6 linked regions of the Cricetulus griseus genome follow. The protein of the gene in region 2 purifies or fractionates together with the protein of the main gene of each other region. This does not show direct contact. Links are inferred from orthologs where the notes say so. Each region holds a gene or a part of one and is shown on either strand. Other genes may lie near its edges.

What was found.
Region 1: the proteins of Myh9 (region 2) and Ube3a purify together in Homo sapiens (affinity purification with western blotting; 3 studies listed by BioGRID, with this or other methods). This does not show direct contact. The link is inferred for Cricetulus griseus from reciprocal best matches to the Homo sapiens genes MYH9 and UBE3A.
Region 3: the proteins of Myh9 (region 2) and Usp11 purify together in Homo sapiens (affinity purification with mass spectrometry; 3 studies listed by BioGRID, with this or other methods). This does not show direct contact. The link is inferred for Cricetulus griseus from reciprocal best matches to the Homo sapiens genes MYH9 and USP11.
Region 4: the proteins of Myh9 (region 2) and Sptan1 fractionate together in Homo sapiens (co-fractionation; 3 studies listed by BioGRID and IntAct, with this or other methods). This does not show direct contact. The link is inferred for Cricetulus griseus from reciprocal best matches to the Homo sapiens genes MYH9 and SPTAN1.
Region 5: the proteins of Myh9 (region 2) and Gsk3b purify together in Homo sapiens (affinity purification with western blotting; 4 studies listed by BioGRID, with this or other methods). This does not show direct contact. The link is inferred for Cricetulus griseus from reciprocal best matches to the Homo sapiens genes MYH9 and GSK3B.
Region 6: the proteins of Myh9 (region 2) and Enkur purify together in Homo sapiens (affinity purification with western blotting; 4 studies listed by BioGRID, with this or other methods). This does not show direct contact. The link is inferred for Cricetulus griseus from reciprocal best matches to the Homo sapiens genes MYH9 and ENKUR.

Annotation. Positions count from the first base shown.
Region 1 is NC_048596.1:138,656,197-138,660,836, reverse strand, and holds part of Ube3a (ubiquitin-protein ligase E3A), read left to right. Parts: coding exon 1-34; intron 35-1,270; coding exon 1,271-1,391; 3' UTR 1,392-4,640. UniProt on the Homo sapiens protein: E3 ubiquitin-protein ligase which accepts ubiquitin from an E2 ubiquitin-conjugating enzyme in the form of a thioester and transfers it to its substrates.
Region 2 is NC_048595.1:374,862,968-374,866,511, reverse strand, and holds the end of Myh9 (myosin-9), read left to right. Parts: coding exon 1-36; intron 37-330; coding exon 331-539; intron 540-999; coding exon 1,000-1,108; intron 1,109-1,186; coding exon 1,187-1,359; intron 1,360-2,418; coding exon 2,419-2,536; downstream 2,537-3,544. UniProt on the Homo sapiens protein: Cellular myosin that appears to play a role in cytokinesis, cell shape, and specialized functions such as secretion and capping. Required for cortical actin clearance prior to oocyte exocytosis. Promotes cell motility in conjunction with S100A4.
Region 3 is NC_048604.1:125,518,326-125,523,161, forward strand, and holds part of Usp11 (ubiquitin carboxyl-terminal hydrolase 11), read left to right. Parts: intron 1-377; exon of another isoform or gene 378-425; coding exon of another isoform or gene 426-454; intron 455-2,268; coding exon 2,269-2,378; intron 2,379-2,536; coding exon 2,537-2,667; intron 2,668-2,798; coding exon 2,799-2,916; intron 2,917-3,323; coding exon 3,324-3,469; intron 3,470-3,605; coding exon 3,606-3,667; intron 3,668-3,787; coding exon 3,788-3,887; intron 3,888-4,268; coding exon 4,269-4,442; intron 4,443-4,528; coding exon 4,529-4,687; intron 4,688-4,836.
Region 4 is NC_048599.1:141,634,933-141,640,255, forward strand, and holds the start of Sptan1 (spectrin alpha chain, non-erythrocytic 1), read left to right. Parts: upstream 1-1,846; 5' UTR 1,847-1,985; exon of another isoform or gene 1,986-2,052; intron 2,053-5,323. UniProt on the Homo sapiens protein: Fodrin, which seems to be involved in secretion, interacts with calmodulin in a calcium-dependent manner and is thus candidate for the calcium-dependent movement of the cytoskeleton at the membrane.
Region 5 is NC_048597.1:51,923,550-51,928,385, forward strand, and holds part of Gsk3b (glycogen synthase kinase-3 beta), read right to left. Parts: intron 2,999-4,836; coding exon 2,868-2,998; intron 1-2,867. UniProt on the Homo sapiens protein: Constitutively active protein kinase that acts as a negative regulator in the hormonal control of glucose homeostasis, Wnt signaling and regulation of transcription factors and microtubules, by phosphorylating and inactivating glycogen synthase (GYS1 or GYS2), EIF2B, CTNNB1/beta-catenin, APC, AXIN1, DPYSL2/CRMP2, JUN, NFATC1/NFATC, MAPT/TAU and MACF1.
Region 6 is NC_048596.1:212,465,938-212,471,434, forward strand, and holds the start of Enkur (enkurin), read left to right. Parts: upstream 1-1,933; 5' UTR 1,934-2,138; coding exon 2,139-2,215; intron 2,216-5,497. UniProt on the Homo sapiens protein: Adapter that functions to localize a calcium-sensitive signal transduction machinery in sperm to a calcium-permeable ion channel.

The sequences.
Region 1 (4,640 bases), on a different chromosome or scaffold from region 2:
TGATTATAGCCAAAAATGGCCCAGACTCAGAAAGGTAAATATTGAAGTGCAACTCCATCTCCACTGTAAACCTTTAAACTTCATGCTGCACACATGTGATCAGAGACATTTAGCCTCTGTGCTCACTTATGATATTATATAGAAATATCCAAGTCAACAAAACATTAGTGAAAGGGATATTTTACCTTTATTATTCAATTGTAAAATTGACATACTTAAAAAGTAATTGGGAGGTACATGAGTACAGTTTGTCAAATTGGTATGATTTATCATCCCAATAAAGTTTATTAAGAAAGCTGTTTTATAGAATAGTGTATTTAGAATGCTTACACTGAAATTTTCAGGATTATCTGTTTTTTAAAGTTTATTCTAGAATCCTGAGTTACATAATTTTGACATATGATTGTATCCTTTCCCCATTAAATACTTTTCTCTTTTATAGTGGGGCTGGATGACATATCCATAGAAGTATGTTGACTTTGGTATACATCTACAGATATATTTTCATTACTGTCTAGTCTATATTAGTTGATAATACATTATGGATCTAATTTTAATTAATTTATATTTGCCATTCAATCATTTTCACTGTCATTTTGCCAATTGTGTTTCAAGATTTATTTGTTTATTATGTATATAGTATCCTGCCTGCATGGATGTATGAAAGTCAGAAGAGGGCACCAGCTCTCATTACAGATTGTGGTGAGCCACCATGTGGTTGCTGGGAATTGAACTCAGGACCTGTGGAAGAGCAGCGTATGCTCTTGAACTCTGAGCCATCTGTCCAGCCCCACCAATTGTATTTCTATTCAGTCTTGGGAAAAAAAAAAGAAGAAGAAAGAAAGGGAAAGGGAAAAAAAAAGAAAAGGAGCAGACTCTGAAATCTTTAATGATAGTTTTGAATAGTTTTTGTACTTTAAGTTGTTTAGTGACTTCAGCTTTTAAGTGGGTTTAGTAATCTTGGTATGTTTGTTGTGTGAAGATGTAAATGAACTACAAAGGTAAGTATCTAAAGCAATAGCTAACATAGAGTAGAAACTCAGTAAATGCAAAATATTACTGTCATCACTATCACCTTCATCATGTTAGCATTATTTTATAGGCTAAAGACCAACTGATCTTTGTAGCTAAACAGCACACTGTTTATGATTTATCTAATCTGTAGTTTCTCATTATAAACCATTTTAACTAGATAAGCATCTAATAGGAGTATTTCACACTGAGCATATTTCTTACAACTTATGATTTTCCTGTTTTTCTCTCTATTTAGGTTACCTACATCTCATACTTGCTTTAATGTCCTTTTACTACCGGAATATTCAAGCAAAGAAAAACTTAAAGAGAGATTGTTGAAGGCCATCACATACGCCAAAGGATTTGGCATGCTGTAAAGAAGCAAAAACAAAAAGAAAAAGAAAAAAAAAAGAAAAACATTTAAAAAAACATAATAAATATAGTAAGAGGGATAATTTGGTGGTGATAGTGTCCCAGTACAAAAAGGCTGTAAGATAGTGAACCACAGTAGTCATCTATGTCTGTGCCTCCCTTCTTCATTGGGGACATTGTGGGCTGAACAGCAGATTTCAGCTACATATATGAACAAATCCTTTATTATTATTATAATTATTTTTTTGCGTGAAAGTGTTACATATTCTTTCACTTGTATGTACAGAGAGGTTTTTCTGAATATTTATTTTAAGGGTTAAATCACTTTTGCTTGTGTTTATTACTGCTTGAGGTTGAGCCTTTTTGAGTATTTAAAATATATATACCAACAAAACTACTCTCGCAAGGAAAACATTGCCACCATTTGTAGACCATGTAATCTTCAAGTATGTGCTTTTTTCTTGCTTTTTTTTTTCTTTTCTTTTTTTTTTCTTTTTTTGTCCCTGAATCTAGCTCAAATCAGGACCTTTTTTCTTTTTTTCCTTTTTTTCCCTATCAGTTTGCTTTTGAAACTTGAAGTCTTAGAAACAGTATGGTGCAAGTACTGCTGTTCTAGCCCCCAAAGAGTTTTCTGTACAAAATTTTGAGAATCAATAAAGATGGAAGGGAGAACTTGGAATGTTTGAACCACAGCCCTCAGAACTTTAGTAACAGCACAGCAAATTAAAACAACTCATGCCACAGTATGTTGTCTTCATGTGTCTTGCAATGAACTGTTTCAGTAGCCAATCCTCTTAGTATATGAAAGGACAGGGATTTTTTGTTGTTGTTGTTTTTGTTTTTGTTGTTTTAAGTTTACTGGGGAAAGTGCATTTGGCCAAATGATAGGTTAGTCAAGCCTATTGCAACAAAATTACAAAGTTTGTTGTATAAACAAGCATGTAAAAGTGCTCTTAAAATGAATCTTTATTATTACCTAGATTTTAAATAGACAATCCAAAGTCTCCCCTTCTGTTGCCATCATCTTATTTAATCAGCTATTTTTCAAGGCACTCGATCAGTGTTGCAGCATAACAGAAAGGATGGCTACTGTGCCTTGTGTTACTTAGTCACACAGTAAGCAGGCCTGCAAATGAATGGAACTATTACTCCTGAGAATTACATTGTATATCCCCCAAATTAAATTTTACATCAAAAAGTGTTAAATATTCATGTGCTGTAGAAAAGTACAAGTAGGCTTAAATTACTGGATATTTAATGTAGTTTCCCATTCCTAGTCTTCTATGTCTGTGATGTTAATTTCTTTTGTTGCATAAGAAAATAAAAGAATTATGTATTTTTAACTAAGGAGAGACATACTGGTATATCATTTTACTACAAGCTACAGCTAATTTGTTGAGCTTGTGATTTGATTCTTTTAACAATTAGTGCAAATCAACCTTATATTTTAAAATTGGCAGGGGAAAATGTAGCTTTCAAATCATTGGAAATGCTTTTTTCAAATCATTTTTCATTCTTGTAGTAATCAAAACAGAACTATTATTTACTGTAATGCTAAATAAAGCAGTGGCTTAAAAAAAGAAAACTATACCTTAATGGGAGAAAAAGAACACAGTGCTTTCTATACTGTGATAAGGTAATGTGGTTTTTTTTTTTTTTTTTTTTTCCCCCTGGGATAGCCTTTAGAACACTGTTGTGGTATGTATGCTACCTTGATTATAGGACCCATAAATGTGACTATAGTCATCTTAAAGGGCCTCTTCATCCACTGAGCTTCTTATGTATTTTGAAAGTGATAAGAAGACAAATTAAGTGGATATACTTTATACAATAAATTTGTGAAGAAATTTGTGTTCTTCAGTTCTCAAGTTTTATTGTTGCTACAGTATTGAAGTAGCTGTGATACTATATCTGTGTGAAAGTTTAAGTGATAATATAGATTATCAGACAGAAGTAACATCAATATATTTAATAGAAAGTGGAAAAATACCCTAAAAAGTTTTAAGAAGAAAAAAATAAACTCTTATTTGCTTCATAATCAGTTTTTCTCAGCATGTTACCACGTTATTATGGCTGCCTTTCCATTATTGCTTTCTTAGAATGTCAAGGAACAGTATCTTATGAGTAAAAGTATACCTTTTAGTGTTGTAGAACATTTCAAACTTAAAGCTTAAAAAAAGCACAGCCTGCAGCAAAAATTTTCTGGAGACTTGGCAGCTGCAGCAAATGAATTGAGTGTCTGATTGTATATATTGTGGTCTATAGTTAATTGTGTGATCAAATCCAGTTACAATTACCTTAGCTTTATTTGGAGATACATCCCTGTATAGGAAGATATATTATCAAAAGAAACCTATAAATGAGGCTTCAGAGAACTTGTTCATATTAACATGTGGCACATGCTTATAATTGGGCAGCATCACTCCCTATTTCTGTGAGGTGGCTGTACTGAAACTTAAACTGATGTAAGGAGTTTTTTTCTCAAGAATCCACATAACCTCCTGGAGAGAGAAGTGTTTTTCTGAGGCTACATTTTGTGATGTTCTTCCCTTTAGTTGCTTAAGACTATCTTTATCCTTTCTACCCTTCCCAGGGCCACCAGAGTAAAATATGATAATAATAGCAACTTTCACTTGCTGCTTCTCTCATCTTTTCTCCTCTTATTCTATCAAACCATAGATCTTTCTGTCTCTCTCTCGTGTGTGTGTGTGTGTGTGTGTGTGTGTGTGTGTGTGTGTGTGTGTGTGTGTGTGTGTGTGTGTGTGTGTGTGTGTGTATCATATTAGCCAACTGGAAAAGGAAGTCAGAGAGTTGGAAAAGACTAGATCTTTGAAAGGAAGACTTTTTCTTTCTTCCTTCCTTTCTTTTTTTTTTTTTTTTTTTTTTTTTGTGACTCTCTACATTCTACCTTCTTTATACCACAAACACACTTTCCTTTATCCCGGTAAAGATGGCAGCTGGCACACCTTGGATCATTCTGCTATTACTAGTCCCTCATTTTCACAGAGGAATCCTCTAGATGCTGTTCTCTGTAAATGTATGTGAGTCATATTTAACATTTCTTATACTTTGTAAGTCAAAGATTCCTGTAAATTCTGAAGGAAACTTTCAGTGACTGTCAAGTACCTGTGCATGTAGTCCTTCATTTGCACAAAACAGGTCAGTCACTGTAACTTGAGAGTTTATACACCTTACTTAAAGTCATATAGCCAGGAAAAAGGATGACTAGTGCTATGGTGGGCCTACATGACCAC
Region 2 (3,544 bases):
CTGATCAACGACCGGCTGAAGAAGGCCAACCTGCAGGTGAGCATCGTGGTGGCCGCTGACCCTGCATACTGGGATCAAGACTCTTTGCCTGAGCTCCCTGTGGTCCAGCAGACCATGGCGGGCAGAAATAGGATGGATGAGTGTCCACTGTTCTCACAATGCCTCTGACCCGTGGCTTCAAGACCAGGCTTCAGAAGTTTCTGGGTCCTGTTCATGAGTAGATTCCTCTCTGAGAGAGCTGGGGTGTTCTTTGGTTCTGATGTCTGAGGAGAGGGTCCATGCAGCTGGGCCCCAGCCCTCCCTTGAGGTCACCGTACTGCCTTCTTGCAGATTGACCAGATAAACACCGACCTGAACCTGGAGCGCAGTCATGCTCAGAAGAACGAGAATGCGCGGCAGCAGCTCGAACGCCAGAACAAGGAGCTCAAGGCCAAGCTGCAGGAGATGGAGAGTGCTGTCAAGTCCAAATACAAGGCCTCCATTGCTGCCTTGGAGGCCAAGATTGCACAGCTGGAGGAACAGCTGGACAATGAGACCAAGTAGGTACCCCACCCAAACTGAGGGCAGTCAGTGCCGGTCGGGTCAGGAATGAGCTCTGTCTTCCAGGCTTCACAAGCAGTCTTCATTTGTTCTGAGAAGTATGGAGTTTGGGTGGGAACCCATAGCCCACACCCAGAACTGGGAGCTTTGTGGGCTGTTCTAGTGAGAGACCCTGCCTAGCTGTCTTGGGGCTCAGAACTGAGACTTGGAAGTAATGAGGACCATGCTGGGTCCCAAGCCTCAGATTCTCCATAGGCTGGCTCCTTCACTGGTCTCATGGGTCAGCCCAGGTCCCATCCTGAGATGGCAGCTACTGGGTGTCCGGAAAAGACACCTCCAGAGGTGTCCAGAAAAGATTAGGGCATCGGTCTCCAGGCCTCCGTGTGGCCCCAGGAAGTGGAGTTGGCTGTGTCATCTGGTAGAGTGTCCCCTTTCAGTCACCATGTCTGTCGTGCCCAGGGAGCGCCAGGCAGCCTCCAAACAGGTGCGCCGGACCGAGAAGAAGCTGAAGGATGTGCTGCTGCAGGTGGAAGACGAGCGGAGGAATGCCGAGCAGTTCAAGGACCAGGTTTGTGCTCAGACAGAGCCTTGGCTCTAGGTGGGCCGCTCTTTCAGGGCCCCTTACCTTAGCCACGTGTCTCTGCAGGCCGACAAGGCGTCCACCCGCTTGAAGCAGCTTAAGCGGCAGCTAGAGGAGGCCGAAGAGGAAGCCCAGCGGGCCAATGCCTCACGCAGAAAGCTGCAGCGTGAGCTGGAAGATGCCACAGAGACAGCCGATGCCATGAACCGGGAAGTCAGCTCCCTGAAGAACAAATTGAGGTGAGTCAGTCTCCTGTCCTAGACCTTACTCTTTCTCAAGTAGTTTGTTCTGAGTGCATTTCAGAGAGTCATCTCCTTCCAGAGCCAGTGTACAAGGAAGAGGTGCGTAGTGACCGATGTAGAGGGTACCCACCCTAGTGTGTCCTGCCGGGGTCTTCTTGCCTTTGGGGCTTAGCCAGGCTGTTGAATCAACTGCATATTCTTGGCAGTTCATTTCATGCCTTTTGTTTTGTTGTTGTTTTTTCAAGACAGGGTTTCTCAGTGTAACAGCTCTGGCTGTCCTGGAACTTGCTTTGTAGACCAGGCTGGCCTCAAAGTCACAGAGATCCACCTGCCCCTGTCTCTGATGGGATTAAAGGCGTGTGCCACTACCACCTGGCTTTTCCAAGCCTATTTTAACAGTCCATGCTCTTGCAACTCAAAGCCTAATGGGGGTGTTTCCATGCTGGGTTTTTTGAGTTGGCTGCTGGAGGCCTTCTGGCCCAGGGTCTGTACTTTCTGTAGAGTGAATGCTGGCATCACGATGCAGCGGGAAGGAAAGCAAGGCTTCTGTCAGTGTTAGAACTTTGCTGGGCTGCAGCAGATCTCGGGGAGTCTCCATTCTTCCTCCAATCAGAGGGAATGTTTTTTAAAGTATGAAAATAAGACTCTCATGAGAATTTCATCTGTGTTTTCTAATGTGATCAGAGGATGCCCCGACTCCTGTGTGAACAGCTGTTCCCTGAGGTTCCGGGTCTACTTACATCTTTTTGTTTTGTGGTGCTGTGATGGAACTTGGGGTCCAACTTGTGTTAGGCATGTGTTCTGCCACTCAGCACTCACCCTGCAACAGTGCCACCTGCCTCCACTCAACCTCCCTGTGCTGGTGTTCTGTGGTAAAGACACCTGCAGGAAAAGGCTGGTGATGGTTCTGATGGTCCACTCTCCTGAGAGTGCTGCCTGGCTCACTTCCCCTGGCAGGAGTTCCTCTGAAGATCCACTTTGAGATCTGCACACCGGGCTGCCCATCCATCACTCCTTAGCTGGGCCCCGCTGACACTGCTTCTGCCCCTTCCACAGGCGTGGAGACTTGCCGTTTGTGGTGACCCGCCGACTTGTCCGGAAAGGCACTGGCGACTGCTCAGATGAGGAGGTTGATGGCAAAGCAGACGGGGCTGAGGCCAAGCCAGCTGAATAGGATCTTCTGCTGCCTGAGACAACAGACAGACGGCTCCGCCTCCCCTCCACACCCCTGCCTTGAGACTGCTCTGACCCTGACAACCCCCGACCCCCAGGCCTTACTGAGGGCATTGGCTTCCTCTGCTGCATAGTCCTCCATACCTTTCAAGAATCCGATACCAAAGAGTCCAGGCTGGCCCAGGCCCAGTGACCAGCAAGGTTTTGCCCCAGTTGCCTGAAAGCACAGGTGGTGGGCAAGGAGGGCAGCCCTGGGAGTGGGCACAAGAGTTTTCTATGAATCTATTTTTTCTTTAGATAAAGGTTTTAATAGCTCAGGCCCTCTAGAAGTGTTGTCACCTTTCCCCCACCTTTGCTGCCAGCTCCTCCCCACTCCTTCCTCTGCTGTTGGCAATCACACATGGTGACCTCACACCTGCCCTCTGGCCCCTTTCCTGGGCCCTTCCTGATCCAGAAGGAGCAGTCCAGGGCTTCCACCTCTGTGCTGGGTGCAGAACAGGGGCACTCGGGGAACTCTCCCCATTCCCTTCCGGGTAGCACTGGTGCCTCTGCCCCTTCCGATTGTAAAATGTGTCAAGTGCAATGCCCCTTCCCTCCCTTGCCGAGGGCAGACTATCCCGGCACCGGGGCAACCAGACAGGGCATCAGGGCCACACTGGAAAGGCCAACAGCCTTCCGGTGGCTTCTCCCAGCACTCTAGGGGACCAAATATATTTAATGGTTAAGGGACTTGCAGCCAGAATATCCAAGAGCTGGGACCTACCATGCACTCTTGTGCCTCTCCTAGGACCAGGGCCAAGGGTGGCTGAGCTGCACCGCCAATGCTATAGCTTCAGATCTGCCTTCCACATGGATGTTTTTGAGAGAAAAAAAAAAGGTTTTTCCTCTTTTCCTTTCTTGGAATAAGGGCTACAGTTCTAGGTGTTTTCACTGCTTTTTCCTGGAACTGTGTTTAGAAGAAAGTAGCCTGTTCTACAATGGTCTACACTGGTTGCTGAATTTCTCTGTG
Region 3 (4,836 bases), on a different chromosome or scaffold from region 2:
TACTGCTTCCAGAGGCCCCAAGTTTGGTTCCCAGCACTCATGTCAGGTGGACCACAAACATCTGTAACTAGCTCCAGGGGATCTGATGTCCTCTAAGAGCTCCCAAGATCACATGCACATACTTATACACGTGCACAATTAAAAGTATGAAAAAGAAAGCACTAAGAATTGGTAATAATTTGGTGACAAAAATATGACTAGTAATTTTATACAAAAGACCCAAACCCAAATCTTGATCATATTTTGATGTGTTGGCCACAGGATAGTAGGAAATTAAGGACTTACTAGTAAGCCTTTATGTGTACTTCAACTTATTTAAGTAAATTTGATAGAGCAATGTTATATTTACCATCTGTAACTTTTTTTTAATTGTGCAGGATGATGGTGATAGGCTGGTGATAGGAGTAAAGAAAGAATTCAGCAAGATGGAAAAAGGCACCAGTAAAGAGTTTATGTAAGAGATGGCTTTCATTGAGGCAGGGGTGTTCTGCTTAGACAGTTAAGCAGTGTTTCAATGATGCAATGCCCTGGGACATTTGTAGTTGGGGCTTATGGTAGAGTTAACTCTGACCTGATAACAGTCACCAGTGGCCTTGCTTTGTTCCCACCTTGCCCTGAGTCAGTAACTGCCTTGTTCTGAGAATATCTGCCCCAGAGTGGTTTTTATGAGATTAAGCCTTACTCTAGCCCTGGCTGGGCCCACATTCAAAGCAATTTTCTTGCCTCTCCCAATTATACTTACCTGGTTGGTTAGGTGTGTGTGTGTGTGTGTGTGTGTGTGTGTGTGTATGTGTGTGTGTGTCTGTGTGTGTGTGTGTGTGTGTGTGTGTGTGCGCGCGCGCGCGCTTGTGAGAGAGAGACAGAGACAGAGAGACAGAGACAGAATTCAGTCTAAGGCCTCTTGTATGCTAGGCAAGTGGTCTACACTAAACTATATCCCCAATCCTAAACTGAAGTTTTGCTACGGAGTGATTGTAGTGCTAAAATTTCCTTTCACATCTGATTTTTAGGAAGGTGAGGGGTTAGAGAGATGGTTCAGTGGTTAAAAGGGTGTACTGCTCTTGCAGAGGACCCAACTTCAGTTCCCAACACTGAAGTAAGGCAGCTCACAATTGCCTGTAACTCCAGCTCCAGGGAAGATCTGAAGCTTTTGGCCGCTGTGAGCACAGTTTCACCCACAGGCACGTGGGGATATATGTAATTAAAAATATTTTTTGTTGTTTTTCGAGACAGGGTTTCCTGTGTAGCTTTGGAGCCTGTCCTGGAACTCGCTTTATAGACCAGGCTAGCCTCGAACTCACAGAGATCCACCTGCCTCTGCCTCCCAAGTGCTGGGATTAAAGGCTTGCGCCACCACTGCCTGACAAAAATCTTATTTTTAAGGTTGACAGGTGCCTCCCTTTGTACTGAAAATACTGTTAACTGTACTCCATACATGAACCTCATAAACTGAGTGTAGGGGCCAGTAAGCGGTAGGAGGAATGTATGTGTTTGTAAGTTGAATGACAGATTTTTGGCATGAGCTCCCAGGTGGCAATGAGTATTTTTCTGGAGTGAATGATGTGGCATGGTCTGGGGAGTGGAGAGGGTAATGTACAGTCAAACATCCAAAACACACAGAAATTCAAAGCCAGGTGTGATTCATGTCTGTAATCTAGCATGGAAGCTGAGGCAACAAGTTCACTGCCAGCCGGGACTGTGTAGTGAAACCCTGTCTCAAAAGAGACTCCAGACTAGATTTATATCATAGTTGAATGTGGGGAACTGTGCACACACCTTTTAATCCCAGTATTCAGGAAGCTGAAGCAGAGGGATCCGTAGAGCCTGAGGCCAGCTTGGGCTACATACATAGTATGTTCCAGGCCTGTCTGGGTGGTACAAGACCTCATTTCAAAAAATAGGGCAATGAATGAAAAAATTGAATAATGTCCAAATGCATTTCACTGAATAAATTCTACTTTTTACTTATTTTACATGCTGCTAAAAGTTTTCTTCTTGAGCCAGGTGTTGGTGGCGCATGCTTTTAGTCCCAGCACTCAGGAGGCAGAGGCAGGCGGATCTCCGTGAGTTCGAGACCAGCCTGGTCTACAAGAGCTAGTTCAGGACACCCTCCAAAGCCACAGGGAAACCCTGTCTCAAAAAAAAACAACCCAAAAAAGTTTTCTTCTTGGATTATAATGGATTGATAGTTAATTCTGCAAGTGATGAGAAGTTGTACAGCTAGCTTCCAAATAATCATAACATCTTTGTTGTCTGTCTGGGTTCCAGGTTCCTTGTGGAGCAGCACTGGTATAAACAGTGGGAGGTGTACGTGAAGGGAGGGGACCAAGATGCTAATACCTTTCCTGGCTGTATCAACAATTCTGGGCTCTTCGAAGGTACTAAGCTTCTGCCTTTCCCCGTCAACCTTGCCCTGGAGCTCTGATCTTCTCTGTCCCCACTCCCATTCTCTATGCTTAGTTATTGGTGGTAGCCAGAGTTAACAGTCCTTTCTTAATCCATGCTGTGCCTTGTCCATACTCCCTATTCCCTGCAGATCAGATAAACTGGCACCTCAGGGAGGGACTGCTAGAAGGAGATGATTATGTGCTGCTCCCAATGACTTCATGGAATTACCTGGTCAGCTGGTATGGCCTAGAAGATGACCAGCCACCTATTGAGCGCAAGGTATATGTGTGGAGCAGATGCTTGGGGTGGATTTTAGATTTCTAACTGTAGGCTCAGGGTAGGTCCAGAGTATGTACCTGTGTTCCCCCTGTTAGTTGGGTGGTTTTATGGGTGCTCCTCTGCCTTCACAGGTCATAGAAGTTTCTGGCATCCGAAAGGTGGAATTATACCCAATAGAGCTGCTGCTTGTCCAGCACAGTGATATGGAAACAGCTCTCACCATTCAGTTCAGCCACAGTGATTCTCTGGGTGAGTCTGGCACAAATTGCTATTTGTGGGCCTCTGGCACAAATTGCTATTCCTAATCATGAGTCACATCTCAATAGCCTGAGGGTGTCTGGGGATCCAGTTACAGCTTCCTGAGAAGGCACCAGTCATACTGTGGAAGACAAATGTTGCAGTGGCCATGTTGAGCAGACACTGGCTATCTGCTGGAGTCCAGAGAGGATGAGCTGTATTGCAGTTGCTTAGGTGGGATGGAAAATAGTGTTTATTTACCTGGGGGGGTGCTTAGTGTGTGGCTCACTCATTTGGAGATTTGTTTGAGGACACAAGGTATTGGCTAAGTAAACAGTCTGAAAATGAGCTAAAGCTATCAAATGGCCCAGTATTCTGGGGTCCCAGAATATATGGCCATGTTCCATCAACCTCCACAGACTTAGTCTTGCAAACAGCTCGGGAGCAGTTTCTGGTGGAGCCTCAGGAAGACACACGCCTCTGGGTCAAGAACTCTGAGGGCTCCTTGGATCGATTGTGTAACACACAAATCACACTGCTTGATGCCTCCCTTGAGACTGGACAGGTAACAGTGGGGAGGATTTCTCTGCATATATAGCCTGGTGGGTAGATCCCTGGCAGTTGTCAGACCAGGGAAGGGCAGGGTGCCCTTTAAGCTTTCCATTAATACTTCTCTTTTTCCTTTCTCTACCCTGGCCCAGTTGGTCATCATGGAAACCCGAAACAAAGATGGCACTTGGCCCAGCGCACAGCTGTGTGGCATGTGAGCCCTCGGGGTGTCGTGCAGATTTGGGGCACCCCACAGTAGGGAGACAGAACCTACGAGTACAGAGCACCCACCTGTAGTAGGCCCTTAGCTCATAGGTTTCTCATCCAACCCCAGGAACAACATGCCAGAAGAGGATGAAGACTTCCAGGGTCAGCCGGGCATCTGTGGCCTTACCAATCTGGGCAACACGTGCTTCATGAACTCGGCCCTACAGGTTGGGCCATTAGATCTATGTCTGGCACAGTTCCAGGGGTTAGGTACTGGGGACAGAGCTAGGGGATGGAGGGATGATGATTACAGTACAAGGGGTCAGGTTGAAAGCCAAGGCTCCACAAATCTGATCTGGTGTGCCCACATTTTCTCCTGAAGTATCAACACCTTTTCCCTCTACTTGCTCCCCGTTCTTGCTTCTTTCCTTTGGTACTGCCATTTCCTCCTACAGAGATACTGACATCTTTCCCCAATACTTCTACTGCACTCACACTGCCAACCCTTCCCCTTCTCTCTCCCATTTCCCTGTCCTCCCTCCTTCTCTGTTCTCACTTGGGCCACCTCACCTCTCCTCTACCTCTTTCACTGGGCCCTACTACCACAGTGCCTCAGCAATGTGCCACAGCTCACGGAGTACTTTCTCAACAACCGCTACCTGGAGGAGCTCAACTTCCGGAACCCTCTGGGCATGAAGGGTGAGCTTGCTGAGGCCTATGCAGATCTGGTAAAGCAGACCTGGTCTGGCTACCACCGCTCCATTGTGCCGAATGTCTTCAAGGTGTGACTCAACCCCATGGGCTCCCACTTTCTTTTCTCTTGCTTCTCCTAACTCCTACTCACTCTACCACCCGACTGTCTCCTCAGAACAAGGTTGGCCATTTTGCATCCCAGTTTCTGGGCTACCAGCAGCATGACTCACAGGAACTATTGTCATTCCTTCTGGATGGGCTACATGAGGACCTCAATCGAGTCAAAAACAAAGAATATGTTGAGCTGTGCGATGGTGCTGGGCGCCCGGATTTGGTAGGCTACCCATTAAAGCTACAAGGCCTTAGGAATTCTCTGGTTTCCCTGGTCTACCTAACACCTTACCATTTCCTCCGTTCCCCTACCTTGAGCTTTACCCCACCCTTAGTCATAGCAGCATGTCTGTTCCCATAACTTTGGAGTTA
Region 4 (5,323 bases), on a different chromosome or scaffold from region 2:
TAAATACCTACAGCCCTGATCCCATCCTTTGCCACTGAAGGATAAGGTCTTAGAAATTTTGGGGAGTTATACTTGTATTAGCCATTTTGTACCCAAGGCTGGATATCTGATTTTAAAATTTGCTCCTACTGGCTGATGTGGTGGCTACTATGGTCACCATCAGCTGTTTTCAGAAATGCACAATCAAGAGCCTGCTGTGGTGGTGCACACTTTTAATCCCAGCACTCAGGAGAAAGAGGCAGGGGGATCTCTGAGTTTGAGGACAGCCTGGTCTATAGCCAGAGCTACAAAGGGAAACACTGTCTGGAGGGAGGAAAAACAAAAAACAAACAAACAAAAAAAACAGTTCAGGAAGCAGCTCCCCAACCTATTTTCTCTGTAAAGATTGCAGGAAATGCCTCCTTTCCTCAAGATTTGTGAAGCTGCTTCTGGGGTGTGGCCATTCCTTTTGTGTTTCTCCACTCCAAGGAAAAGGACTGGGAATCTTCACTATCATGCCTACAGCCAGAGCAGCTTAAAAGTCACAATGCAGATCCTAGGCTCTGGAGAAGCCAAACTGCAGAGGAACAGAAATATCAGGACAGGGCCTCACCCGAGTTCTGGAGCAAGGCCCAGTGTCTTTGTAATTATTTAACGAGGAGGGCGGTTGGTAACCAGGAGGCTGGTGCCTGGGGGAGCTGCAGAACTCCCAGTCGGCCTGACTACACAGGAATGAGCTGGGTGCTACTCGAATGGTTGCTACACAGCTGTCTTCCAAATGGAGGAAGGGAAAGAGCTTTTGCTGGAGGGGAGCCTGGCTACAGAGTTCAGAGCCAGGCCCTGAAATACAGAAATTGCAGAAATCTTGTTTTTCCTCTTCTAAAAAGTCCAGCACCACCTGCAACTGCTTGTGTTAAAATCTTAGCTTTTCTAATTGCTTCGTACCTGACCCGGGTAGAATGCTAGCCTTTATGGCATCAGGGTGCTCATTTGTAAAACAAGGAAGGCAATATCCACCTTGTAAAATTAGTGCAAAGGTTAAAAGCCTAAAGAGGTAGCACACAGTGTCACCTACACAGCAAAGTTCAATTAATTGTGGGGAAAGAAACACTAATGTCTTTTTTTTTTTATCAACGAGAATGAACGAACCCTGTTCTACTGCAACAGGAAGAAAAAATGCTGAATAATTCTCCAAATCCTGAAATAAAAGCTTAATGCCACAAACCAGTCTTTTTCTTTTTCCTAATCAGGATTTGGTTGCTTTTTTTTTTTTTTTTCCCCTACTATCTCAAACACAGGGCCCCAAAATCATCTGATTTTCTTGGCCCCAGCCCCCAACAGAACAGGAACACTCGGGGCTCCCAGCGCCAAGCCTCCTCCTGAGAAAGTGGAGAGGGAGAGCCAACATTCTGGTGAGATCACCCGAAAAGGACAGCGCGTTTTTCCGGCCAGGGCAGCAACATCCCTAGCTTGACTGCGGCGATGGGTCCCGCCCCGCCCTTCGCCGCAGTTCCGGAAGGGCTCCCAGGGGCGGAGGGGCGCGGCACAGATTCTCTGCAGGACGGACTGGGCGGGGCAGGATTGCAGGACCCACGCCGCGGCGGGCGGAGGCGGTGACTCCTCTGCGCCGCGCCGCGCCGCGCCGCGCCCCGAACCCTTCACGCGCGCCCCCGAGCTCCCCTTGCGCCTCCACCCTCGCGTTGCTTATCCCAACCCCCACTCCCCCCGCACCGCTGCCAAGATCCCTTCCGGACGCGCTCGGCCCTTTCCGTATGGCAATCGAGCGGCGAGTCCCGCCCCTCGCGTCACCAACCCGGGAGCCTTCCTCGAGCGCGCGCTCGGCCGCCGCGGGGGCGCGCGCGGTCGCCTATAAAAGCCCCAGCGCGCGCGCGTCGCCGCCACTAGCCGCTGCGGAGCGAACGGCGTGAGGCAGAGGCCGCGGCGCCGCATCTTTTTCCTCAGCAGCCCTCAGCGCGGCGACCCACGCCCCTCACCCCCGGGAGCCGGTGAGAAAGGGCGGCGGAAGGGGAGGGAAGGGCCGAGGGCTGCGGAGCACCGCAGCGGTGCGGACAGGTGAGCCGTGGGGCCTCACGGGCGGCTCCGTGGGCCGCCGCTGCCGCCGCCTTTGTGGCGCGTGGGTTGCGGGGCCGGGCGGCGACCTGGCCTGTCATGGGTGGGGAAGGCGCGCGAGGGCCCCTCCCTGTGCCCGCGGCCCCACCCATCGCGGCAGGTGGTGGTGGGTGGTCCTCGATGGCACCCACCCGCGAGCGTCCCCCCACCCCCCACTGCACTGCATCCGCACCATCCGTGCCCGCACCTCGTGGAAGAGGACGAGCCTGGCGTCTGCAGTGAAGGGCTCTCTGACCTTAATTTCATCCTGTATGGCGATCCCGGGCCCTCAAGCCGCAGAACGGTCTCCTTTTTCTTTCCTGGTAATAAATGTCTTTTTCTCTCCAGTGCTGACCTGCTCCTGTACAGTAGTTAGATGCGGCGCCACTTGGTAGGAGATACAAATCCAATAAATAACTTAATAGGTTACAGCTCTTCTCTTTCTTTTTATGTGAGACTGGGTTTATTTGTTTGTTTTTAAGTCGAAATTAATATATTTTTTGGCCAAATTTTTGCCACCGTGCCACTGTGGAGTGATAGAGCAATCTTTTGTCTGTGTCTGAAGCTGTCCTTGTAAATTTGATGAAATGCTTCTCAACGAAAAATTTTATTTTAAAAGCCTCTCGGGTACTGGAAGTACATATGTATATAAAACAAGGGGCTTTGGTGTAAGTACGGCTCGATGTATTTTAAATGAATAGCCCAGAAAGCTGGGGTGAGATAATTTTTAGCTGCTACACTTTACAGGGTCCTTTTGACTGCCCCCAACACCCCAATATCTCTTCAAACTCTTATTGTGTAGCCCATGTTGGCATGGAATTTGCTAAATAGCCTAGGCTGGTCTCAAACTCAGGTTTTTCCTGCCTCAGCCTCCCAAATAATCAGATATATACCCCCAAATATTTTAAGTTGTCTGTTCTTACCCTTGGTATTTTCGAAAAGCTAATCATCATGGCTGTCAAGGAATACGAAGTATTTTCATAAAGAAACTGCGTTGTCATAGCAATTGGACTTAAGTAAAGCAGAATGTATCAAAGATGGCAGGGTGGGGGTGTCTTGCAGCCAGGAAACAGGAGTTTAAGAATAGCATCAGCAACAGTGAGTTGCATGAAGCTATCGAGCCAAGGATCCCACTCATACTAAATGTCTTAGATTTTAAAGGTCAAATTGAAGTCAAAGTTGGAAAAAAAAAAAAAGTGCTGCAGTGGGGAAAAAAGAGCTGCAGTAAGATCCCTGCAGGAAATTAACAATAAGCCTTTTTTAGTAACTGGGCCATTAATTCCTCAAAGGGACCCTCAAAGTGTGTTGACTGTTATCCAGGGACCTAGGTAAAAAGAATGGAACACAAGGTTTGCCTTATGCCAGACAAGTGTGAAACACTTCTTAGGGTAAATCCAGGGCCTAAGGGCTTATTTCAAATATGTAGTCCCACTCCTTACTTTTTGAGACAAGGTCTTGATATGTGGTTCTTTCTGGAACTATGTAATTGGTTGTAGCTGGTCTCGAACTCACTATGCTCCTGCCAACAAGCCTAGCTGCCACCAACCTTGGCTTTTATTCTTTTAAAGAGATGAGGCCTTGCTATGTTATCTAAAACTCCTGGGTTCTGGCCTAGTGCTTTATCCTCAGCTTCCTGAGTAGCTGGGTCTGTGGCAGGCAGGAGCTGCTGATAGTGCCAAGTTTGGGCTTGGCTGTATGCTTTGTAATAATCTAATAATTGAAGAAACTGATGTCAAGTAATCTAATGAACAAGTTTAAGTAGGGAGAGTGTATTAAGTATATCTTTAAGTTCCCTGGATTAGAATTTTTCTATTATTTTCCTTCTCTGCTTTCATCTCAAAGGGTGGGGCCTCTGCGGATATTGTGAAATGACTCTTAGGAATAGCTCCCCCCATCCTTTCTCTGGAACATTAAAAGGACAGGAGATCTGAGGGCAGCCTGCTTTTGTAATTAGTCCTCCCTGGCTACTGGATAACTAACTCCTCTCTGCATCTGGGCCTGTCACAGCTCATGAGCTGTGTGGCCTTACAGAGGAATGCAGTGATACGATGGCAAGTGCTGACTCCAGGAATGCAGAGGTCTGCATAGCTGATCACATAGAGCTAGCTGACTGGAACAGCTGTGCAATGGACCAGCGTCTTTCCCATCTCTCTTGCACATACTGCTTATACTTGTTTTGAGTAGGAAATAATAGTATTTTGTAAGGGAACTGCACCAACTAATGACTTAATGCTTTTACTTAATTACTTTTACTATGCAAATTCCTAAAATCTTTGAGATTCCTATTTCATCTGAATGTGGATGAGAAGCGGCCAAATTTATTTTTAAAAGAGGCCATATTTATTTTTAAAAGAACATTCAGTATTCAAAATCAACACTTGAATGCCGGGCAGTAGTGGTACACACCTTTATTTTCAGCACTTGGGAGGCAGAGGCTGGTGATTCTGAGTTCAAAGCCAGCCTGTACTAAATAGTGAGTTCCAGGACAGCCAGAGCTTCACAAAAAATGTTTGTCTTGGGGTGGGGGTGGGGGGGAGACAAAACAATCAAACAAAAAATCAATACTGAGTCCTAAAAGAGTGTTCGATTTGGTCAAGGCAGCCCATTAGGTGATGGTAATTGTTAAGACATAGGAGCCTTGGTTCTCTTAATACATTTCAGATTCCTGGTGGGATTTGGATACTGGGGAAATCTTGGCTATTAAATAAATATTGGTGTTTTCACAGATCTGTTGCCTTCACTTTGAAGTGATTCTATCCCACTTGCCCTTAGAAGTGTGTTATCTTGCTCTTCCCTTCCCTCTTTAGACTCCACATTCCTCCATCATGTTGTCATCGTTTCGTAAACGCAGAGTTCAGGTATTTGACTAGCATGCAGAAAATGTGTTGCCTTTTGGGGTTTTTGCCTGGCTTGAAGTGAAGACACACTGATGTCTAAGAGGTTGAATGATCCAGAGGGAGAAGCCCTGCCCGCATGACCTTTCTGTTAAGTAGAAAGGTTGGTAACAGTCTGGTTGGGATTTCTGGTTTCGTGATTGGAAGTGTCAGTATGTTTACTCTAAAATTTCCAAAGCCTACTGTTCTATACCTTTCTGATTCTCTTTAAGGCATGGATGTATTAATTTCTTACTGCCATCCTTGTGTTTGCATGTAATGTTTGCTGATTTTTAATTGATGGCTGCTTGGTTCCTAAGAACCAAGGGAGTAATTTACTCTAGATATTTAGAAAAATTACC
Region 5 (4,836 bases), on a different chromosome or scaffold from region 2:
TGCTGTTTACATATTATTGCAGCTTTGCTCCTGAAGTATTTTACAGTATATACACTTAAAACATTAAAGTGAATTACAGTTAGCATCTCTCAAATGTCTCTCAGATAACTCATTTCAAATCAGCAAGCCACACTGGGAGATGCACTGACAGCAGCGTCACAGACACAGGAGATAAATACAGGCAACAAAATCACAACAGAAAACATCTGAGGTAAGGAAGGGCACAGGAAGGCAAAGACACAGCCAGGGGAAAATGACCTTTCAACCTTAAAGTCTAGGCTTCCTTCCCCTCAATTTACTTTTAGTCAATGATGATGCTAAACTTAACTTGTTTTCCCTTCATTAGCAGTTTCACAATTTAACCTTCTAGGGCCCACATTAATGGTTATTAAACAACCATAATATTTTCAGGCTATCAGAAAATCAAGACACTTAGCTTTCAGTATAACTAATAATGGACTTTTCTATCTTCAGAAGTGCATTTTGGGGGCTTGGGATATAGCTCCTTGATAAAGCAGCTGCCTAGGATGTGACATTTAAAGTTCAGCTCCCAGACAAACAAACAAACAGCAGGAAACCTTGGCCATGCCTTAAGTCTCAACACTCTACTGGAAGGCAAAGGCAGTGGGTTTCTAGGACAGCCAGGACTACAGAGAGACTCTGTCTCAAAACCCAAACAAACAAGGTCCATTTTAAACTGACAAACAGATTCTTAAATTTCATAATAAGTTATTATGAAATAACTTCATAATAATTGTGAAATAAATAATAATTGTGAAATAAATTTCACAATAAGTTAAAATTCTATAACGGAATACTTTTACAGGCTGTATATTCTTCCCCCTCAATAACAATGAAGCAAATGAGAGGTTTTGACTCTCTGCCTTATGGCCTCACCTAATCTGGTCCTTAGACATGCCATGCTAGCCTTTCCAGCTACTGCCAGACCTTGTTTCAGCTACTAAAAAATTATTACAAAGAGAGTAAGGCTGTTTGGTTGAGTTTCTGCCACCCTAGTACCTAAGAGCATGAAGTGTCTCCAAAGTCCTGAGAGTTGGTAAGAATGAGCTGTTTCCACACCTGTGAAAGTTCCCTTTCCACTTATCAGACCAAAGCTACTTTACATCCCAAGAGAATCCCAGTGCTAATGGTGCTCTAACATGGTGATGAGAACAGGAACCCTAAGCACTTGGTGGCTCTTCTAGTACTTAGCAGTCACTTTCCACAGCAAGGTAACCGGTAGTATCAAACCCCATCTCATTTGGGCAGTGGTGCTCTGCTTCAACCATCAAACATGAGCTGTAGGTGCTTATTGTCAGCAGAGCCACAGCCTGCTGAGTGAGATACTGGGAGAGGGTTTGTAATCAGGAAATTGTAAAACAGGGATGTTTGAAAGAGGTGCACAATGAGACTAAGAATGAAATTACTGACAGAGCAGGTTTGCTCAGTTTCTTCAGGTACCTCCCTACACCCATGGGAAATATATCTGATGTTAAACACACAATTTAATCTGAGGTTGGTATAGAAGTCTATATAAAAGATGTGGAAATACAGTTGCCAGCAAGTATGGATTAATATATAATCTGTGGTGCTAAACTGAAAAAGAAGAATTTTTAACAAGTTTATAAAGACAGATGTATCAGAACAAAAAGAGGAGAGGTTCACTGGTGGCTATCGCAGATTAAGTGTGATGACCTGTCTTATTATGGAAAGGAGCTTGACTGCATCTTGGGAGGCTTACAGCTACTGACTACCGAAAAGGAAGTTTTTGCTACTAAGTTACAGTGTATGACCACGGAATCAAACTTAATACTGCTTCTCAATGATTTATCTCATTCTTAATTGAGGTTAAGGTGAAGCTAAAAGGATATATATATATATCTTAACATAAGTATTTGTAATGAAAATGGAGCACACACACACTATATATATTATATATATATTCAAGTAGTACTAAAGATCAATAAGAATGCAAGTTTCCCAAGTACGAAATAATCCTAAAATGGACATTTTAGGAGTAATCATGTATGGGATATTACATAACAATTCAGAAATGAGCCATGGTCATGTATGCCTGTTTGTACACAACAGTCACACCCAGTGTTTTTTCTTTTTTGATTTTTTTTAATTAGTTCAAATTAGGAACAAGCTTGTTTCACATGTCAATCCCTTCTCCCTCTCCCTCCCCTCACCCCCACCCCCACCCAGTGTTTTAAAACAAAAGCATACCACGCACACAATGCTGATGTGGCAGTGGCTTTCTTTTTGCACAGGGTTTCACTATGTGGCTTAGGCCAGACTCAAACTAATGGTCTCCGACACCTTAGTCTACTGAGCATGGATTATCAGCAGGTGTCATCACAGCCATCAAGCTTGAATGTTAGTACTCCTGTAGGGGTCAGGGGAAAACTTGCAGGACCAAGCAAGTTCCAAGGATCAAACTCAAATTGTCAGTCTTGATAGCAGGTGCCTTTCCCAAGTAAGCCATCTTGCTAGCCCTGACTTTTCTCACTTAACACCTCCTTGATGTCATTCCCATCCAGTTTAGACAGCTCCCTCATTTTTTACCCTCAGCGGCATGTATAACATTGTATTTGTATATATCAACTTATTTGGACATTTCATTGCTAGTAGATATTTAGTAACAATGCTATATTAAAGACACTAAACACACATAATCTCTCTGTAAATAGTTTTTAGAAGTTAACTGTAGGAGGAAAGGTACTCACATTTAGTATTCCAATAAAAATATCAAAACCATCCTCACAGGGAACTACATTAATTTATATCCCCTGAGTAAGGATTATAGGACCTAGGCTACCATTGCAATATATTTGAGTATGAGGGAAGTAAGAAAGCCAGCTCACCTTCCAAAGTCACAGAGTTTTAATACAGCTGTATCAGGATCCAACAAGAGGTTCTGTGGTTTAATATCTCGATGGCAGATTCCAAAGGAATGGATATAGGCTAAACTTCTGAACAGCTGATACATATACAACTGGAATAAATAATAGACATTAATTCAGCACCTCTGGTTTCAGACACAATTGTATCATTATGCAATAAACAAAGTAATAGTCTCAGCAGAACATGTACAACGCTGATGATTACTAGTACTGTTTTGCCTACACAAGCTTTCATGTTGTTTCCATAAACACTAGGAAATTAAAGTATCATTAAGCATATATTTGTGCTATCCTTTAGTAATTTAGAAAAGTATCTAGGCTTGGTGTCATACAACTGAGGCAGGGGAATTCTAAGTTTAAGGTCTACCTAGGAAACTTAGTGAAACCATATCTCAATCTAAAATTTAAAGAGGGCTAGGGATGTAGCTAAGCAGTAGAGCACTTGCTTAGCACACAAAAAAAGTCAGGGGTTCAATCCCTTTCACCCACTTTAACATCTCATCTGAAGTCAGCTGGATGAATTTTTTTACTTAAAACATCGATGAAGAGCTCAGAGGGAGAGACCGACCATAGTCTATGAGTGATAGATAGCAGCCTTTAGATGATAAACCATGTTCATTATTCTTTCTAGTATCTCAGGCTGTAAAAGCATAGTGTCATTTTTAGTATCATTTATCTTTCTGAAAGGTTAGTCTCCAAAATCATATAATAGAAGCCAGGAAAACTCACAGGTAAAGTAAGAAATCTAATCAATTGCCTTTTCAGACATCAGTAACTCTGCTAATAAGTAGTATTAATAACCTTCAGAATAATGTAGACTTGCAATGCCACCTAAAAACAGATGCCAGGGGGGTCTCTGAGTCCAAGGATGGCTTGGCCTATAGAGCAAATTTCAGAGCTCACACACGATATATCCTCTGAGAGTGACCCACTATCCCATGTTCTCTCACCTTGCTTTCCCTACCTCGATGCACCCTATCCTCCAGAACTATTAGGCCAAAATAAACCTTTCCTTCATTGAGTTGCCTTTGTCTGGAATTTTGTCAGAGCAACCAGAGAAATACCCTTAAAACTTTAAGAAAACATACCGATGTAACACCTTCAATATTCTATTTATTCCAAGGCCAGTGTTGTGACTCTTTCCCTTCGTTACTTCCTTTCTTCCTTATTTATTTATTTACTTATTATTTGTTTACTTATTTCTTAGTTATTGATTTATTCATTTTTAATCTCTTCCAGGACATACTACTCCTGTTGTATACAAGCTGGTCTTGATCCTGTCATTCTTTTGTCTTACTCCAAATTGCTAAGATTATAGATATGTACCACTACACTCAACCAGATTCATTTTAAATTTTTTCTACATGCTCACTTTCTGAGCTCTACTCCCTGATTAACACCATGGAAACAATTGCTGCAATGATTCCAATCAAAGACACAGTGTCTGACTAAGGAAAAAAAAAAAAAATGAACAGCCAGACAATGGTGGTGTACATCCTTAATCCCAGCACTCAGGAGGCAGAGGCAGGCGGATCTCTGTGAGTTTGAGGCCAGCCTGGTCTACAGGGTGAGTTCCAGGACAGCCTTCAAAGCTACACAGAGAAACCCTGTCTCAAAAAACAAAAACAAAACAACAAAAAGCCAATAAAAAGATTAAAGGTCAGCTGAGGTACTGACAAAAGACCCTGTCTTTTCTGGATATATTGTTGGGGACTGGCATTATTGAAGTTCACAGGAAAGCCACTTTTCTTTAGAAGCATAATGAAACTGCTAAGGCTGGACATGTTAACAGTACATGTTTAATGTGAATCTGAAATCAAGCTATGCAAGTTAGAGCCTTCTTCAAAATGAAGCATGACAAAAATGTATACCTAAGATCTTCAATGTCAACATTTTCTAATTAAATCAGAAGTAAAGCATTTAGATACCT
Region 6 (5,497 bases), on a different chromosome or scaffold from region 2:
ATTAAGCCAGAAGCACTCTAACTCATACCTGAATGAAGCTCATCTTAACATACCTGTTTTCTCTGTAAAACACACCAGGAGTCTCTTCATACTTGGAGCTACTATAGAGCACTTGAGTACTGAGTTTAGGAACCTGTTTTTGTGGCTACTGAAACCAGAAGGATACAAAATATGTGTCACTAAACAAAATATAAAAAGGGTATCTGTTACTGAAACCCCAAACAAGACAACAAACATCTTGCTTGATTTCAGCTGGGAATGTGCACATATCATACCTCAAAATTCTCACTGCCATGAATGAATAAATGACTAAAAATGTGCAGCCAAGTATTGATTTTTGGGATTGTGAATAAACTTGAGCAAATAGGACATTAACATAGAGAATCCATGAATAATGTGGGTTAACTTTATGTCATTTCCCTTTTTTGAAAGCTGCATTCTTTCACATACCGATTCCTTCCAATTAGAACATGTATACGCTTTGGGGTGTCAATGTGGCTCCAACCACTGGCCTAACATACCTGAATACTGGGTTCAATCCTGAGGTCAGGAAGGTATATATGTCTTGCCTAATAACGATCAAGTTGGTTAATACTGTTGTCATTCTATGAATTCATAATTCAAACCTTAGCATGCACAGGAGCAGATTTCCCAGAGAATTTTTTTTCTCTATACATGTTAAACAAAAAGAACAACAACCATTTTTCTCCAAGGCAAAAATGGTTAATCTCTGTTTTGCACCTAAATCTATGGAACTGATGTGAAATAAGGAGAACCATCCCCCAAAAGGCCATTTATCTAACTATGGGCTGCCCAGAAAAATTAAATTCTATCAAATTGAAAAACAGAAAATTAAACGTATTCCCTATTCTTATTGAAAGAAATTTAGCAAGGAGCCTCAAATTAGGATTTGCACCGAGGACCGCCTTCCAAGGAGGAACTGAAAAGCTCACTAAACCACTAGGCCATTTAACCCATCCACCAGGCAATGGGAACTGCAGAAGTGATGCGCTCGATTTCCCCAATGGATACCTTCCCAGTGGATTGAGAGCTATGGATTTTCCCTCCCAAAGCAGTGTGTAACTGGGATCAAGGTTTCTAAATGAGCTTGCAGTTAGTTACAAGTGCATAAGCAAGAAAGGAAGAGCAAACGGCTCAAAACGGAATACAAGCACTTCTCGGAGAGGAAAAAAGAAAATGTCAAAAAGGGATCGGGGGCTGAAACCAGGGCAAAACCGGAGGCCCACTTTTAAAAGCTGATCCTGCTGGCGCAGGCTCGCACTCGCGCCCGCCGGCGCCCCGGAGCCATAGCGGAGCGCAGGGCGGGCCGCGGGGACCGGTGAGACAGGTGGATGACCTCGCGGAGCCTGATCCCGCGCTAAGGAAGGAAGGGTACGAGAGCAACGACCCGCGCCAGCCTTTCTTTCCTCCTCCATTAACTCACCAAGTAAACCACCCAGAGAAGACCGGGGAGAGGAAGGGGAAAGGGAAGCAGCTTCGGCACCTCCAAGGTAGCCTCAGCGGGTACGCCCGCCCCAGAGCTGCTGCATCTGCGCCTGCGCCGACTGCGCCGCGTCGCTATGTCGGTCACGTGACATATATGCCCCGCCCGCCCGCTGGTTCGCGGCTCCTCCCCTTCCCCGGCCCCGCGGTTCGTCCCCGGAGGGGCGTGGCCGGGTTGTGGGACACTATTGTGTGACGCCTGCGCACCAGCCACGCTGTCTATTGTGGTAGAATTTTTCTTCCCAGATGTACCGAAGAAAAACAGCAAAATATTTTTTTGAGTGGGGATGGGGGGGTAAGGGGACACTGTTTTCATGTCCTTTCTCCCAAAGGCGCAGGAACGTTCTTACGTATTTCTCAGGCAGGAGGAGTTAGAAAACAGGGACCCGAGAAAAACCAGCCCGTTTCCTAGCAACTGTTTCCACAGCAACCACGCGGCCAACAACGCTAAGCAGTCTCCAGAGGAGCAGAATAGTTTCTTCCTGTAAAGGGTCAAAGGGAGATTATTATACGAAAGAGAAATTTTAGTTCCTTGTTAAGAGAGCAAGAAAAGAAAAAAGCGGCGAGAAAAGGAGCCGAGACAGTGGGATAGGGAGCCAAAAGTTGAGTAGGTGTTAAGGAATCCTTTGGTAGCCATGGACCCATCCTGCACTTCCGAGAGTATATATAACCTCATACCCAGTGACTTGAAGGAGCCGCCCCCTCTTTCTAGGTATGTGGGTAAGCAAAAGTGACTTCAACTCAGGGAAGCATGGTGACTCCTTTTAAGGACTTACTGGGCTTGAATATCGTAGGACTTTTAAAAGGAAAATCTATTTTTTTCTTTTAATTAAGTAACCTTGGGGGGGGCAACTTCTTAGGAACAGGTGAACATATCTATCTAGCTTTTCATAATTCACAGAGAAGGTGGGCTGGTGCTGTATACCAGTCATTTTATGGCCGTAGTCTCCTGCTAATATGTAATTGATCCAGTTGTAGGCGGTGTGGTGTCTAGTGTGAAATTTCACATCGTTGAGAAGAGAAAAATAAGTTTTATCAGTCCGTTTTAGTAAATTCTTTGTTTAATTTTAGGAACCCCATGATGTATTTGAGTTTACTGTCTCTCTGTACTCCTTTGCCTCCCGTACTGTCGTCTAAATTGAAGTCTCATTTGTTTCTAGGTCTCGGTACTTGAGTTAGTTAAACAAAGATGGTGTGCTAAAATATTTTCTAGGATGTTTTTCAGATCTTATAGTTTAATGGAAGGAATATAGTTGGATGGATATGGATTCCAAAATATATAATCGAGGGAAATTTTTTGTGTGTTTGTTAGACCCCTGAAAATCTCCAAAGGAAACTGCAAAATAAATGTCCTAGATACTCTTCCCTGTAGCTATTTTTTAAACTCTATTGAAGTCTGAGGGGAGAAAAAGGGAGTCTCATTTTGACTCATGAAAGTCACGGCCACTTTAAAAGAATAAGTACCCCGGTGCACATGCCTATCCCAGCACCAGGAGAGTGCAGTTCAAGGCTAGCCTGGGCTACAAAGGCAGACCCTGTCTCTAAAACCAAACAACCAAGACAATAAATCATCCCTGAGAGCTTTAAAGCAAATCAAGATTTACAAGTTGCTATTTTGGAGGTGTGGAATCAATTTTCAGTTGTTTTCTGACTGGAAGAATAAGTGAAGTAGACATCTCCAAGGTTCCCTCCAAATGCAATGGTCAACTTCTTGTTACTTGGAGTGGTAACAGCAAAGTGTAACTCCTTAGAAGCCTGAGTGGCTTAAACCACAGCAATCACAAATATGGTATTTCCATTGGCTTTTCAAGATCTAGTTGAGGTCTGGTAGGAATATAAATGCTGACACACTTGTGGAGTTTACAGTGTTTACATTACTTATGGCTAAGTTTGATCCAAAATTTCCATATAGAGTCAAGGCAGGTAAGAAGGATGGGAACTAAGACTGACATAAGTCTGACAGTAAGGTCTGGAAACTGGATTAGCTTGCACATTGTCCAAAGAAACTGGAGGAGTGCCATTGCTTCAGTAGAGTGTTCACCTTTGATTACTGATAACTTTTCATATTTCAGATACTGTTAAGTGTCCATACACTGTTCTCTTCCTGTACAGTAAGATACATTATGATGAGACTCCCAGAGAAAAGAGAAATGGTGACAGAAAACTAAGATGGCATTACAAATGAGATAAACATGGAATCTGTGCTTGGAAGTCTTGTGTCTGTCTCACTCAGGTTGGACTCAAAGCTACTGGAAAACAGTCAGTCATCGACAAAGGAAGAAATGTGACTCCAAGTCACTATATCAGGGGTAAAAGTTAAGCTGTAATTGAGCAGAAGTGAAATGCTCTTTATAGGGACCCATGAGTATACATGCTCGTGGTTCCTAGATAGAGGACACATTGTGGAATGAGGAATGGCGTCAGCCTCAGTCTCACAAGGAATGTACCATGTTCCACTGGTCTCATATTACTCTAGTGCCAGAATAATTTAATGAAAGCAGTTTGAACAAGAGTGTTGTTCCCTAGTTTAACTAGATAGATCTTTTCTGGGATTTAGGTCAACACTGTCCAATAGAAATGTAATGCACTTAAACATTTTCCTATAGTCATTTTTAAAAGAAAAAAGCAAGCAAAAGCAAAATTATCCTTAATTATGTATATTGTTTAATCTGATGTATCTATACTACCATCATTTCAGGATGTGGCACTAGCCCCATTTCAAGTATTTAATATCTACAAGTAATGAACAGCAGAAATCTAGATGAATACATTGACTGCAGTGATATTTGCTAATTTATTTTTCTCAATAGCTCATGAGATCATAATTATGCCCAATGAAACACACCTGCCTTATTGGTGACAACTTAAGTGCAAAGTATATCTGTGACAATCAGTCTGGGAGTGGAATTTCATCTATTTTTGAAAAATTAATTACTTTATGTAGTCAAGAAGATGAACTGAAAATCATTTGGATGCCTGTGGGTGAACTTACACAGTATCTAACTAGATGTAAAAAAAAAAAAAAGCCTCAAGATTTAATTTGGAGGACTTTCTAACACAGTTTAAACTCCAGAGTCAATGTTAATCAAAAGCATACGCACATGAGTTCTCTCTCACAAATACACTGTGCTTCCTCAGATGTCTCAATCACTAAAAGGAAAATCTGAAGTTCTTTCAAATTATCAGCACATTTAAGCGTATTACTTCTTTGTGTATCCTTTTAAAATGCCATAAAATGGATTACTATATGGTGATTGTTAGCAATAAAATAGTTATAGTATGTTAAAAGAGGATGACAGTTTTAGTTTCAAAATAACTTATCTCTAGCCCAGTCTAAAATAAGTAGACAGCGAATCCAGTTATCTGATTAAAATTACCTGCTATATCTTTATAGTAAAGCCATTCATTTTTAAAAATGTAATGTAATGTAGCTATTTAAAAGAATAAGCATAGATGGGCAGTGAGGGTCCACACCTTTAATCCCAGCACAAGAGGCTGAAGCAGGCAGATCTCTGTGAGTTCCAGGCCAGCCTGTTCTACAAAGTGAGTTCCAGAACAGCCAGAGATACACAGAGAAACCCTGTTTTGAAAAAACAAAATGTTAATAATAATAATAATGAATAAGCTTTGTATGTACTAGCATCACACTATATAATACTTAAACAATAAAGTTGCACATATATGTGTACATATATCCATGAAACAATAAGTAATGTAAAATAGTCCATGAATTTGATAAAGAGCAAGAAGGGTATATGGAATGGTTAGGAGGGAGAGAAGGAAAGGGAGAAATTATGTAGTCATAAATCTCAAAAAATAAGTAGTCAAATATATATATAAGCAAAGCTGAGAATTTTGATGGCTGTTAGTGCAATAAGGGGAAGAAAAAATTAAAAAGAAAGACAACAACAACATATTAAAGTTGCAATTCATGTAGATAAACACAAACTGAATTTATATTGGAAAATCAATTGGAGAAATGAAGGGAAGAGAA